Oryctolagus cuniculus: one gene and its partners. The protein of the gene in region 1 binds, or shares a complex with, the protein of each later gene. Links are inferred from orthologs where the notes say so. Each region holds a gene or a part of one and is shown in the gene's direction. Other genes may lie near its edges.

Region 1 (4,321 bases):
TATCCTCTATTGCTTTCCCAGGCCACAGAATAGAGCTGGATTGGAAGTGGAACAGCTGGGACTTGAACCAGAGCCCCTATGGGAAGCCAGCACTGCAGGCAGCAGCTTTACCTGCCAAGCCACAGCGCTGGCCCCACGATCTTATTTTAAAGGCAGAGTTTAGAGAAAAAGTGTGAGATCTTCCATCTGCTGGTTCGCTCCCCAAATAGCTACAACAGCCTGAAGCCAGGAGCCAGGAGGTTCTTCTAGGTTTCCCACAAGGGTGCTGGCACCCCCAGGTGCATCAGCAAGGAGCTGGATGGGAAGTGGAGCAGTTAGGCCTTGAACCTGGGCCTTAAGGGATGCAGGCATCACAGGTGGTGGCTTCACCTGCTAAGCCACAACGCCAGCCCAATACTCAGTCTTAATAGTTTTTCAAGTGTTGTGTCCAAGTCTCTATCCAGCTCATTAGCTTCTTAGACGTTAAGCCTTTTAGATGCCCCTGAGCAGTCAAAAATTATTCTGGGCATCATCAGTAAATACTCCATGGGCTCTTGGCCCCTGTTGGCCCTGATTCTGGCCAAAGTTATACTACTACGACTGAGGGAACTAATCCAGTTAAGGACATGGGAAAGCATATTAAAATACTAGTCTGTGGGAACAGCGCTGTGGCGTAGCAGGTAAAGCCACTGCCTGCAGTGCCAGCATCCCATATGGGCTCGGGTTCGAGACCTGGCTGCTCCATTTCCCATCCAACTCTCTGCTATGGCCTGGGAAACAGAAGATGGCCCAAGCCCTTGGGCCCCTGCACCCACGTGGGAGACACGAAAGAAGCTGCTGGGTCCTGGCTTCGGATTGGTGCAGCTCTGGCCATTGCAGCCAGGTGGGAAGTGGACCATCGGATGAAAGACCTCTCTCTCTCTGCCTCTCCTTCTCTGTAACTGATTTTCAATAAATAAATCTTTTTTAAAAGGCTCCCAAACCCTGGATATAATCAGGGGTTCTTTCCCCAACAGGAAAACAGGCTTAAGGAAAGGTTCCGCTCTGCGGCAGCGGGAAAGTTTTTATGGACACAGGCTCGCTAGCTCCAGCATCAGGACCAAGACCAGCTTCTAAATCAGCAATCTCTCTTCCCGTCGCATCCCAAAACAAGTCCCAGTTCAGTTTGGCTGTCGATGTGTTTCTCCCAAGTGCACAGACATTCTCGAGCACAAATGGCGAACCACGCTCTCGGCTCGGCGAGGGCAATGGCGGCGCTGGCCCCGGGCCCGTCCCGGAAATCCCCCTCCATCCAGCCGAAGTTTCTCACGGGACATCCGGCGCCAACCCCCCGGGATTCTCTAGAGAGGCCTCAGGCCTTAGACATCACTCGATTAACCATAAAGAGGCGTGGGGAGCCGGACTGCCGACGGGACAGGAACCCAAAAACCCCACACCAGACACAACAGCCCAACCTCCCGGCCTCCGGCGGCCCCGCGCAGCGATCAGCGACGCCCCCCGAGGGGCGGGGTTTCCGCTTCCGGTGGCGGATTGTTGACGCCTGCGGCTGCTGCGGTGGCGAAAGGGCCGTTGGGGAGGGGCCTCTGAGGGGAGGGAGACGGCGCAGTGACAGGTACCGCGAAGGGTGCTGCCGAGGCGACGATGGCAGAAGGGCCCGAGGAAGCCCGAGGTCGCCCTCCCGGGCAGGACGATGGCGGAGGGGACCACGCGCCTGTCCCTTCCCTGAGAGGCCCTCCCGCAGCCGCCGGCCCTTGTCCCCGAGACGCGGCGCCAGTCGAACCCCAGGCCCCGGGCCGGCCGCCAGCCCCGGCCCTCGCGCCCGCCTCCGCCGCTGCCCCGGAGGAGTCGGAGCCGCAGCGGGAGCTCAGGAGGCGAAGAGAGGCGGCCCCGAGCTCCGGCGCGGGGCTGCAGGAGCCGGCGGGCTGCGAGGCGGCCGAGGCCGAGGCGCTGCGGGAGAAGCCGGCGCGGCTGAGCGCCCGCGAGTACTCGCGGCAGGTGCACGAGTGGCTGTGGCAGTCCTACTGCGGCTACCTCACCTGGCACAGCGGCCTGGCCGCCTTCCCCGCCTACTGCAGCCCCCCGCCGCCCGCTCCCAGCTACGCTACGGCCGCCGCCGCCCCCCAGGCCGCGGCGCCGCCGCCCCCGCAGCTGGCCTATTACAACCCCTTTTACTTCCCGAGCGCCGGCGCCGCGGGAGCGGAGGCGGGGGCGGCTGCGGGCATCAGCACCCCGGCCCCGGTGGCGGGCCTGGGGCCGCGGGCTCCTCACGTGCAGGGCTCGGTCCGGGCCGCTCCAGCGACTCGTGCGGGATCCGCCGCGCCTTCGCGCGCCGCCAGCGAGAGCGGGCGGCAGGCAGGTGAGCAGCGCGAGGCGCGGGGGGTATCCCGAGGGGGTCTTCGGGGAGGCTGCCTGCAGGGTTTGCGCCCCCGTGGGGACGGCCGCGGCTCCCGGGAGTGTGCCCGGGCCTTACACCCCAGTGCCGTCCACCTTGAGAGCAGATCGAGGGCCTCGCGCCCGGGTCGATTCCCACGGGGAGGAATCTGCCCTGGAGAGCGAGGTGGAGAGTTAGACCCACTTGTGCAGAGACTTGACTGGCAATGCTGGAGTGCGCTGCCTAGGGGCTGTGGGCCTGACCGATCCGGAGGATTTACATGAATGCAAATGGAGTTCCCAAGTGTTGGCTGGCCCCTGCTTACTGCTTTCGGAGCCTCCTTGTTAACTTCTGCTTGGGAACTAGAAATGGCTTTAGTTAGCTACGCTTGTTAGAGTTTGTATTCAGCCACCGATATGTGGACCGAGAACCAGTTGGTGCCTGTATATGAGCCTGAATCAGAATTGAGGATGACAGGTTGATGACCCGCGGATTTATTTTCTAGAAAGTAAAACAATGACTGAGGGGAGGGAAATGTGAGATACCGGGATTTACTCTACACAGTATTTATTTATGCTGTACTTTATACCGTGGGTGTTTATACTATAGTTTACTCGAGTTTTACCTTTTTCTCTTAAAGTTTAATTGAGTGTCGCCTAGGTGTGATCACCTGGATTCTCCTAATTTGAGTCCTGCTGAAATGTTTTGGGTACTTGAATCAAACACAGCTGTGAAATCAATCTTTGAACATTAGAGTGATGAAAATAAATTTTAAGCAGTTTATTAAACACAGTGCAGTGGTATCGCTGTATTTTAGTAATACATACTCTTGTTGGGATCAGTATGACTAACTGATGCAAGGTTGTGAATATTCATAATTACTAGGTTGTACCTTGACTTTGCTTTCTCCATTCTTACTTGCCTTGTGCACTAAAGCCTTTGTGAAATGATCATTTTTTCATAATTTTCTTTTTTTTAACTTACAGGCAGGGAGTATGTTATTCCATCCTTGGCCCACAGATTTATGGCGGAGATGGTGGATTTCTTTATTCTGTTCTTTATAAAAGCAACCATTGTCTTAAGCATTATGCACCTCAGTGGAATAAAGTAAGTTAAGCACCTTTGTAGAAGAGTTTGAATTTCTACTGTTTAGAAATTATTGAGTTCTCTTCATGCCTGCAAGTGACTATAAGGATAATGTCATGATTTCTTTCTAAAAGCTCTGTCGGATTTATTTCCTACTGGACCTAAGAAATAACTACAAAGGAGAAAAAAACTCCTCATACATTCTGTAAGATCTGTGAGAATTTCACCCATCAAAAGTAGGTAAAATGATCCTCCAATCCTGGTTTGTTTTCATTCAACTATTCTTGGGCCAGGAAGCAATTTCTCTCTTATTATTCTGTAGAGAGAGTCTCTAACGACAGAAATATAAAGAGCTTTTGGTGGGTGAACTCCTAATTATCAACTAGATGTATTTCCAAATGGCATTGCTTACCATGAGCCCAGTCCCAAGAGAACTGCAAAGTGAGACATTTATTTGAATAACCCTCTCCTGAGATTAAAATAATCATAACAGCAGTTCTCATTTGCTAAGCACTTTCTGTATGCTAGGCACTTAGCTCGCGTCTTTATATGGCGTCTTATTTCATCTTAGTACCACTATGAGGTAGAGGCTAATACCTCCATTTTATAGAGATTGAAATTTGAGTATATGAGAACCTAGGCCCAGAATTTTAAAGGTTACAGAAGTACTAAGTGACCATGTCAAGATACAAACATGTGGTCAATTTTTTTTTTTAGATTTTTTTATTTATTTGAATGATAGAATTACAGAGAGGAGAGAGAGAGAGGAAGGTCTTCCATCAGCTGGTTCACTCCACAAATGGCCACAGTGGCTGGAGCTGTGCCAATCCGAAGCCAGGAGCCAGGAGTGTCTTCTGGGTCTCCCATGTGGGTGCAGGGGCACAA
Region 2 (3,532 bases), about 62 Mb from region 1:
TATTAGTATTTATGAGATAGGATAGAATCTTAGAAACTTATTTTTAAGACTAAGAATGCTTGATTAAAATTAAATTGTATGCCCAGAGTCCTGATACATACCAAATCGCTCTAATTATATATATGAGTGTGTGATGCTTATATGAGGGGACTTCAAAAATTTGTGAAAAGAATTAAAACGTAAAAATACAAATGTTATTTCTCAACATAAGCTTCATCAAGTTCAAGACACTTTTGTAAGTGATAACACTAGCTATTTTGTCCAGCCCCAAAGAACTGGAAGTTCTGAGAATTTAACCGTGTCAGTGCAGTCTGTTTTATATTATTAACTGAAGAAAAATAGGTGCCCTTTAAATATTGTTTTAAAAGTTGTATTTGTCTGTTCGAAAGGCAGAGCAACAGAGAGAAAGGCAGGGGGAGAGAGACAGAGAGATCTTCCATTTGCTGGTTCACTCCCCAAATGGCTGCAATAGCCAGGACTGAGCCAGGCCAAAGCCAGGAGCCTGGAACTCCATCCAGATCTCCCACATGGGTGGCAGGGGCCCAAGTACTTGGGCCACCTTCCACTGCTTTCCCAGTGGAAAATCTCCATTAGCAGGGAGATGGACTAGAAGTGGAGTAGCCAGGACTTAAATTAACTCTGATATGGGATGCTGGCATCACAAACTGTGGCTTTACTTGTTGTGCCACAGTGTCAGCCCCTAAAGATTTTCTTAAGATTAGGAAACAGGAAGAATCAGGAGGCGTGAAATCAGGACTGTAACAGGATACCTAGTGATTTCCCATTAAAATTCTTTATAAAAAGTAAATGTTATCATTCTTGTCCCTTCAGAAAAAGTCAACAACCAAAATGCCATGAGCATCCTGAAATACTGTGGCGTGACCTTTACTTTTGACTTGTGTGCTTTTATTTTGATTGGACCACATCTAGCTCTTGGTAGCCATTGCTTTGATTGTGCCTTGCCTTCAGGAAAATACTGAGAAAGTCATGTTTCATCTCCTGTAAACAATTCTTGGGAGAAATGCTTCAGGATCTTGATCCCACTTGTTAAAAATGTCCATTGACAGCTCTGCCCTTGTCTGTAGCTGATCTGGGTGCAACAGTTTTGGTGCCCATCAAGCAGGAAGTTGTTCACCTTTAATGTTTCAGTCAGAATTGTGTAAGCTGAACCAGTAGGGATGTCAGTGGCAGTGGCTGTATTTCTGCTGTTAATCATCAGTCCTTTAGGGCATGAGCAAGCGGTTTTCGCTTGCAAATTCATGTGAATGATCTGCTGCTGTGGGTGTCATCTTCAGCTCCATCTTGTTCCTCCTTAAAACAAGTCATCCATTTGTAAACTGCTGATTTCTTTGGGGACATTGGCCCCCTACATTTTTTAAAAGCATCACTGATTTCACCATTCTCCCATCAAGCTTCATCATAGATTGGAGCATGAAATCCATTTTATTGATACAGACATTTTAATAAGATAGACTCACACTACTTGCATTCTCCATGTCTAAGTTTCCTGATATGGAAAGTGGGGATCAATAGCACCTATCTAGTAATGTTTTGAGGACTGAATTAATATGGCACTTAGATAAATGCCACCACATAGGAAGCAGATATGAGTACTTATTGAAGTGGTATCTTCCTTATATACCTAAATTAGTATATAACTCTCTAAAGGATGCCATCTTTTAGTGCCCAGCTACCACTTGTTATTATATTAGCCCCGGTTGAACCTGTGCTATATGCTCAGTATGTATATGAACTACATATTCTCCTTTGTAGCAGCTTTTTCTCTAGGCTTGTTAGTTTCTCGTACTTAATTGCTCAGAAAAGTGTATTTTAAATGTCTCTATTTTATGAATTTTATTTTAGCTGTTAAACGATTAATGAAAGAAGCAGCGGAATTAAAAGATCCAACAGATCATTACCATGCGCAGCCTTTAGAGGTTAGTTTCTATCTCCATACTTTTCATACAAATTTTTAAGACTTTAATATTTAAAACAAACTCTTAAAAATTGCTTTTTCATTGCTTTGAGCCATTACAGATGTGTTTAACATAGTTTACTGATAAAGTTTATTCCCTGTGGTTCATGAGTATTTTATTAGTCATTCATTTTAGAAGGAGCAGATTCTGGTCTCTTGACAAGTGGGTCTCAGATGCTAAGTTGGTGTTAGGTCTTGAGTATGAGCTGGTGGGGGGCGTGGTGGTGGGTGTGGAACTTGGAAACTTCAGTCCCATGACGGGTCTCTGTAGCCACCCTGGGCTTTTTGTACAAATGTCTCTACCTTTTTTCAGTCTTCTCATTTATAAAAGGAGAACAGTTAAAGCTGGTTTTATAGTTATAGTTATAGTTATAGTTAGAAAATAATGTAAGAGTGTTATGTACAAGTATTTTGCAACTGAAAAGTGCTTGGTAACTATAAGCTGACATTAATAGCAAATGTGCTAATGTTACTGACCATTTATAAATAAGCTCATAAGCCTTTTTAAAAGATACTGTTTAAAGGCTTACTTAATCCAAATTTATGGTTATCATTTCATTGTATGATAATTGGTATTCTTTCAAGGACTTATTTCCAGTTAATTAAATCAATCTGATTTGTGAATATGTAACAATACTCAGCTTTTTAATTTGAATAGCAGAGATAGAAAGGGATAGACAGAGCTCTTCCATCCACTAGTTTACTTCCCAAATGCACAACAGATGGTGCTAGGCCAGGCCGAAGCCAGGAACCTGGAACTCATTCCAGGTCTCTCTTGTGAATGGGAGGGACTCAACTATTTGAGTCATTACCACTGCCTTTGAGGGTACACATTAGCAGGAAGCTGGAGTCAGAAGTGCAGCTGAAACTTGAACCCAGGTACTTGGACATGGGGTGCAAGCGTCCCAAGTGGCATATTAACCACTGTGCCAAATGCCTGCCCCTTGGAAATTTTTTTATGTATTTGCTTGAGAAAGTTATTAGCTCTTACGGCACATGAAAACTAGATTAAGTAGCTTTTATTTTCAGTTTTTATTTATTTATAACTTTCATCCTTGAGACATTTTGTATATTAGAAACTGTCCATCAATAACAAAACATTAAATTTTTCTTACCCAATATTTCTAATATTCATATTGATAAAAATGGTGCAGCTTTTTAATGTTACTGATTCCTTGTGGCCTGTTGTTTTGGTTCAGGATAACCTGTTTGAATGGCACTTCACAGTCAGAGGGCCTCCAGATTCTGATTTTGACGGAGGAGTTTATCATGGACGAATAGTACTGCCACCAGAGTATCCCATGAAACCGCCTAGCATTATTCTCCTCACGGTAAGAATTCTTGGCTATTTGGAACACTTATGGCTTACCTCTTTTTGCTGGCTGCAAAGTATAGTGAGGGCATGTGTTTTTATCAAGAAGGAAAGTAAAACATAATAATTTTGCTTGTGTGGTCCGGACCCTGGGACAGCAATTTGCCCTCCCAAAATAATGTCTAGGAAGCTGATGCATCTGGGATATGCTAATGATACTAACGAATGGGTCAATGTCCTAGCAC
Region 3 (4,222 bases), on another chromosome or scaffold:
CTCTCTCTCTCTCTCTCTCTTTAATTCTGACTTTCAAACAAATAAATAGATGCTTAAAAATAATAATAATTTTTGTAAAGATCTATTTTACTCATCTTAAGAGCAGAGCTAGAGAGGGAGAGGGGAGAAGGAGTGGGAGGGAGGACACAGAGGCAGAGCTGGTTCACTCCATAAATGGCTGCAATGCCCAGGGCTGCGCCGGGCAGAAGCCAGCAGCCAGGAACACCATCCAGGTCTCCTACGCAAGGGCAGAGGCCCACAGATAGGGGACAAACCATTTCCTCCAAAACAGTGCTGACATTCTGACCCCCAGTGCCTATGCGCTGGAAATAGGGTCTCTGTTGATGATCAAATTAAGATGACGTCACCAGAGTGGTGACTGGTGTCCTCATGAAAAGGGGAAATTTGAACAGACACACAGTGAGGGAAGAGGGCATGAAACGCACACACACAACACAGGAGGATCCGATGTGAACAAACAGGAAGCCAGCGATGGGGACGAGGCACCCACCAGGCAAGGAATGCCAAGGCCTGCCAGCCAGCAAACTCCAGAGGCTGGAGAGCAGCCCGGAGCAGGTTCTCTCAGACATCAGAAGGCTCCGGGCCGGCGCCTCGGCTCAATAGGCTAATCCTCCGCCTGCGGTGCTGGCACCCCGGGTTCTAGTCCCAGTAGGGGCATCGGATTCTGTCCCAGTTGCTCCTCTTCCAGGCCAGCTCTCTGCTGTGGCCCGAGAGGGCAGTGGAGGGTGGCCCAAGTGCTTGGGCCCTGCACCCCATGGGAGACCAGGAGGAAGCACCTGGCTCCTGGCTTCGGATCAGCGCAGTGCGCCATTGGAGGGTGAACCAACAGTACAGGAAGACCTTTCTCTTTCTCTCTCCCTCTCTCACTGTCCACTCTGCCTGTCCAAAAAAAAGAAAAAAAAGAAAGAAAGAAGGTTCCGACACTGCCTACCACCTCGATTTCAAGTTTGCAGCTCCCAGAACTGGGAGACAAAAAATCGCCGTCGTGTAGGCCACCCATTTTGTAGTACTTTGTTGGAGCAGCCCCAGCTGGCCAATATGTCCCCTACCCCCCAGCTGAAGGCTCTTCCCACTACTCTCCAGCCCTGCAGGCTCCTACACATCTGGAAAAACAGAAATCCCAATAGGACTGGGGCAGGGATAGGGCCACGGCAATATCAGTCTTGTTTTCCAAGAATTTTTTCCTCCTCCACAGACAAACGGGAGGCCTCTGTGGTCACGTTCTAGGAACCTGTTCCCCTCTCAGCCCCAATGTAAAACATGTGCTGAGTATCCCATAAAGCGACTCTTCTCCCAGTGTCAGCTGTCACAATAAGGGCAATGGTCTTCACGGGTGGAACAGGCAAGTTCAGGGCCAGAGGCAAATTTGCAAGATGCCCGGATGCCCCCATGTTCTCAACCCAAGGAAGCGTGGGCTCTGTTTCTCCTGGGCAGCCAGGTGTTCTCCGAAACGGGTTCATCAGCAGTTCTGTGGGCCCAGGCCCCCGCAGCACAGGCTGCTGGGGGCCCCCAGGAGAAGGGAAAGGGGAAGTGGGACTTGGTGCTTGGGGGTGAAAAGGGCGGGGGTGTTGCTTTATGAGGAAACAATTTGCAGACACTGCCAAACTGGGAGTTGGCCAGGCTTGTGCTGCCCCCGCCTCACTCCAGTCCTCAGGGACCTTAAGCAGCCCGAGCTGGGGAGCCCCTTGTCTCCTCAGGGCCGAGCCTCCATCCGGGCGCAGCGCACCCCAACATGGCCGCCGAACCCAGGCTCCAGGGCTGCAGCCGCGACTCCGGGTGACGCAATGGCCGCTGGTTGCATCAGCCGTGCCCGCGGGTTTGGCCCGCCCCGCTGCCCCCCGGATCCGGACGCCGATTGGGCCACGTTGGGCAGTGACCCCCGTCTCAGCCAATGGGCGACAGCCACAGAAGAGTCTGTCCGCAGAGCCCGGGCGCGGGCCGCCTATAAAAGGCGCCTGAGGCGGGGGCGCGCGGCCCAGAGAGTTGAACAGTCGTTGCGGATCTTGCCGGTGCGCCGCCGCCTACCTGGCATCTGGGAGCGCCGCCGAGCCTACAGCTCCGCCGCCATGGAGCCCGAGCCGGAGCCCGAGCCCGTCACGCTGCTGGTGAAGAGCCCCAACCAGCGCCACCGCGACTTGGAGCTGAGCGGAGACCGCAGCTGGAGCGTCGGCCACCTCAAGGCCCACCTGAGTCGCGTCTACCCCGAGCGCCCGGTAAGAGGGGCCCCGCCTCCCCCTTTCCGGGAGTCCCTCCGTGCGGCAGCTCCCCCCACGACGGCGGGTCCCCTCCTGGGCACTTCCCCCAGGGCCGAGGTCCCCTCCCGCCGCGGGCGCCCCTCTCCTTGCCCGGGAGCTGTCACCCACAGGGTCTGGGCCGTCTTCACCCCGCCTTTCTGACGGGCTGCTGGCTTGTCACTCACTCCGCCTCCCCCACGTCCCCAAACCCACCTCCCCAGGCCTGGCTCCCCCCACCCGAGCCAGGCCGCCGAAAACAGCAGTTTGACCTTGGCTGAGCTACGTCACCCTCCAGTCCGTCCTTTGCCCCAAAAGACCCAGGCGACTAAGTGTTCCTAACCAGGCCTGCGCCCTCGGCATCCAAGCAGGAATCCGTGCTGCGCGCGGCGTCTTAGCGGGGAGGGGACCGTGCAGGTGCCAGCCCGGGGCCCTACCCAGAGACCCGGGCAGCGCCCGGGCGCCGTGCGCTTGAGGTCCCACGCCCAGAAGAGGACGTGGCTCTTCCCTCGCTGCCCACCTTCCGCCCGCTGGCCCGCGGCTCCTCCCCGTCGCGCGGGGCTCCCCGCTGGTGGCGCAGGGAGGAGCCGCGGGCACTGGGCGATGGAGCCGGGAGCCAGGCGGGAGGAGTCGGCCCGAGGCTGGTTTTCAGACCCGGGCCCCCCCACCCCACCCCGTTTGGGGAGCTCTCCTTGCTTTGTTTTGGTTGACGCATCTGTCAACATCGCCCTTAGCGCCGCCCTCGCGCCCCGCCACGTGACGCGAGGCCGCCGCGAGCCGGACCTTCCTGTATTTACTTTGCACTCGGATGTTGCGTAAGCGTCGGCCGGGTTGCTCGCTGCCCACCACCCTGTGATCCTCCGTGGGGCAGGAGGAGGGCCGACCCGTGGGAGCGCGCGTGTCCTCGGCGCCTTTTCCTTCCTGGTTGGGAACGTGGACGTGGACTGCCCCTCGGACCTGTGGTTTTTTGGCCTGTGTATCCCGTCACCTCCCGTTCCCGTGGCCTTTGCAATTCACCGCTTGCCTCTCCAATTTCTTGGGAGCTGCTTCCAGGAAATGAGGTGGCCTCGAGGTGCACAGATAGGCGAGGGGCAGGTGCGGAGCATCACTCCCCTGAGTGTGACGACCTCAGAAAGATCTGTCATGTGAACACATTGGTATTTACAAATTACTGCTGGAGCATGCTCAGCATTTGTTTTCTGTAGTATAAAATGGTATAATGTGAGACTTCCGACTTTAGAATAGTTAACATTTAACTTTTTTGTTAGCTTTTATTTTATTTTTTTAATACTGTTTGAAAAAGTTATAGAGAGAAGGGGGAAGAAACAAAGATCTTCCATCTGCTGCTTCACTCCCCAGTTGGCCCCCACAGCCTGGGCTGGGCCAGGCCAAAGCCAGGAGCTTCATCCGGGTCTCCCCTGGGTGTCGGGGGCTCAAGCACTTGGGCCATCTTCCACTGCTTTTTCTAGGTGCTTTAGCAGGGAGCTGGATGGGAAGTGGAGCAGCTGGGACTGGAACCAGTGCTCATATGGGATGCCAGTGTCACAGGCCCCTTAAGTCAGTTCTTTTTCTTTTTTGTTGATTCAGGCCTCGAAAAAGGGGTGGGGAACAATTCAAATCCACAAGCAGCTGTAGTTTTGACATCTTCTCTAGTGGTTGAACTCTTTCAAATAAATACATTAAAAAAAAAAAAAAAAGAGTTACACAGAGAGAAGAAGAGGTAGAGAAAGAGAGAGAGGTCTTCCACCGCTGGTTCACTCCTGAATTGGCCGTAACGGCCGGAGCTGCGCTGATCTGGAGCCAGGAGCCCTTCTGAGTCTCCCACACAGGTGCAGGGGCCCAAAGACTTGGGCCATCTTCTGCTGCTTTCCCATAGCAGAGAACTGGATCGGATGTGGAGAAGCTGGGACTCAAACCGGCGCCCATATGGGATGCCAGCACTGCAGGTGGTGGCTTTACTCACTATGCCA

What was found.
Region 2: FAM8A1 (region 1) and UBE2J1 share a complex: the UniProt entries of both Homo sapiens proteins name them as parts of the HRD1 complex. The link is inferred for Oryctolagus cuniculus from reciprocal best matches to the Homo sapiens genes FAM8A1 and UBE2J1.
Region 3: FAM8A1 (region 1) and HERPUD1 share a complex: the UniProt entries of both Homo sapiens proteins name them as parts of the HRD1 complex. The link is inferred for Oryctolagus cuniculus from reciprocal best matches to the Homo sapiens genes FAM8A1 and HERPUD1.

What each region holds. Positions count from the first base shown.
Region 1 is NC_091436.1:144,840,683-144,845,003, forward strand, and holds the start of FAM8A1 (protein FAM8A1), read left to right. Parts: upstream 1-1,502; 5' UTR 1,503-1,620; coding exon 1,621-2,335; intron 2,336-3,336; coding exon 3,337-3,457; intron 3,458-4,321. UniProt on the Homo sapiens protein: Plays a role in the assembly of the HRD1 complex, a complex involved in the ubiquitin-proteasome-dependent process of ER-associated degradation (ERAD).
Region 2 is NC_091436.1:83,178,014-83,181,545, forward strand, and holds part of UBE2J1 (ubiquitin-conjugating enzyme E2 J1), read left to right. Parts: intron 1-1,863; coding exon 1,864-1,937; intron 1,938-3,174; coding exon 3,175-3,306; intron 3,307-3,532. UniProt on the Homo sapiens protein: Catalyzes the covalent attachment of ubiquitin to other proteins. Functions in the selective degradation of misfolded membrane proteins from the endoplasmic reticulum (ERAD) and is essential for cells to recover from ER stress.
Region 3 is NC_091449.1:40,584,874-40,589,095, forward strand, and holds the start of HERPUD1 (homocysteine-responsive endoplasmic reticulum-resident ubiquitin-like domain member 1 protein), read left to right. Parts: upstream 1-1,406; 5' UTR 1,407-1,805; coding exon 1,806-2,234; intron 2,235-4,222. UniProt on the Homo sapiens protein: Component of the endoplasmic reticulum quality control (ERQC) system also called ER-associated degradation (ERAD) involved in ubiquitin-dependent degradation of misfolded endoplasmic reticulum proteins.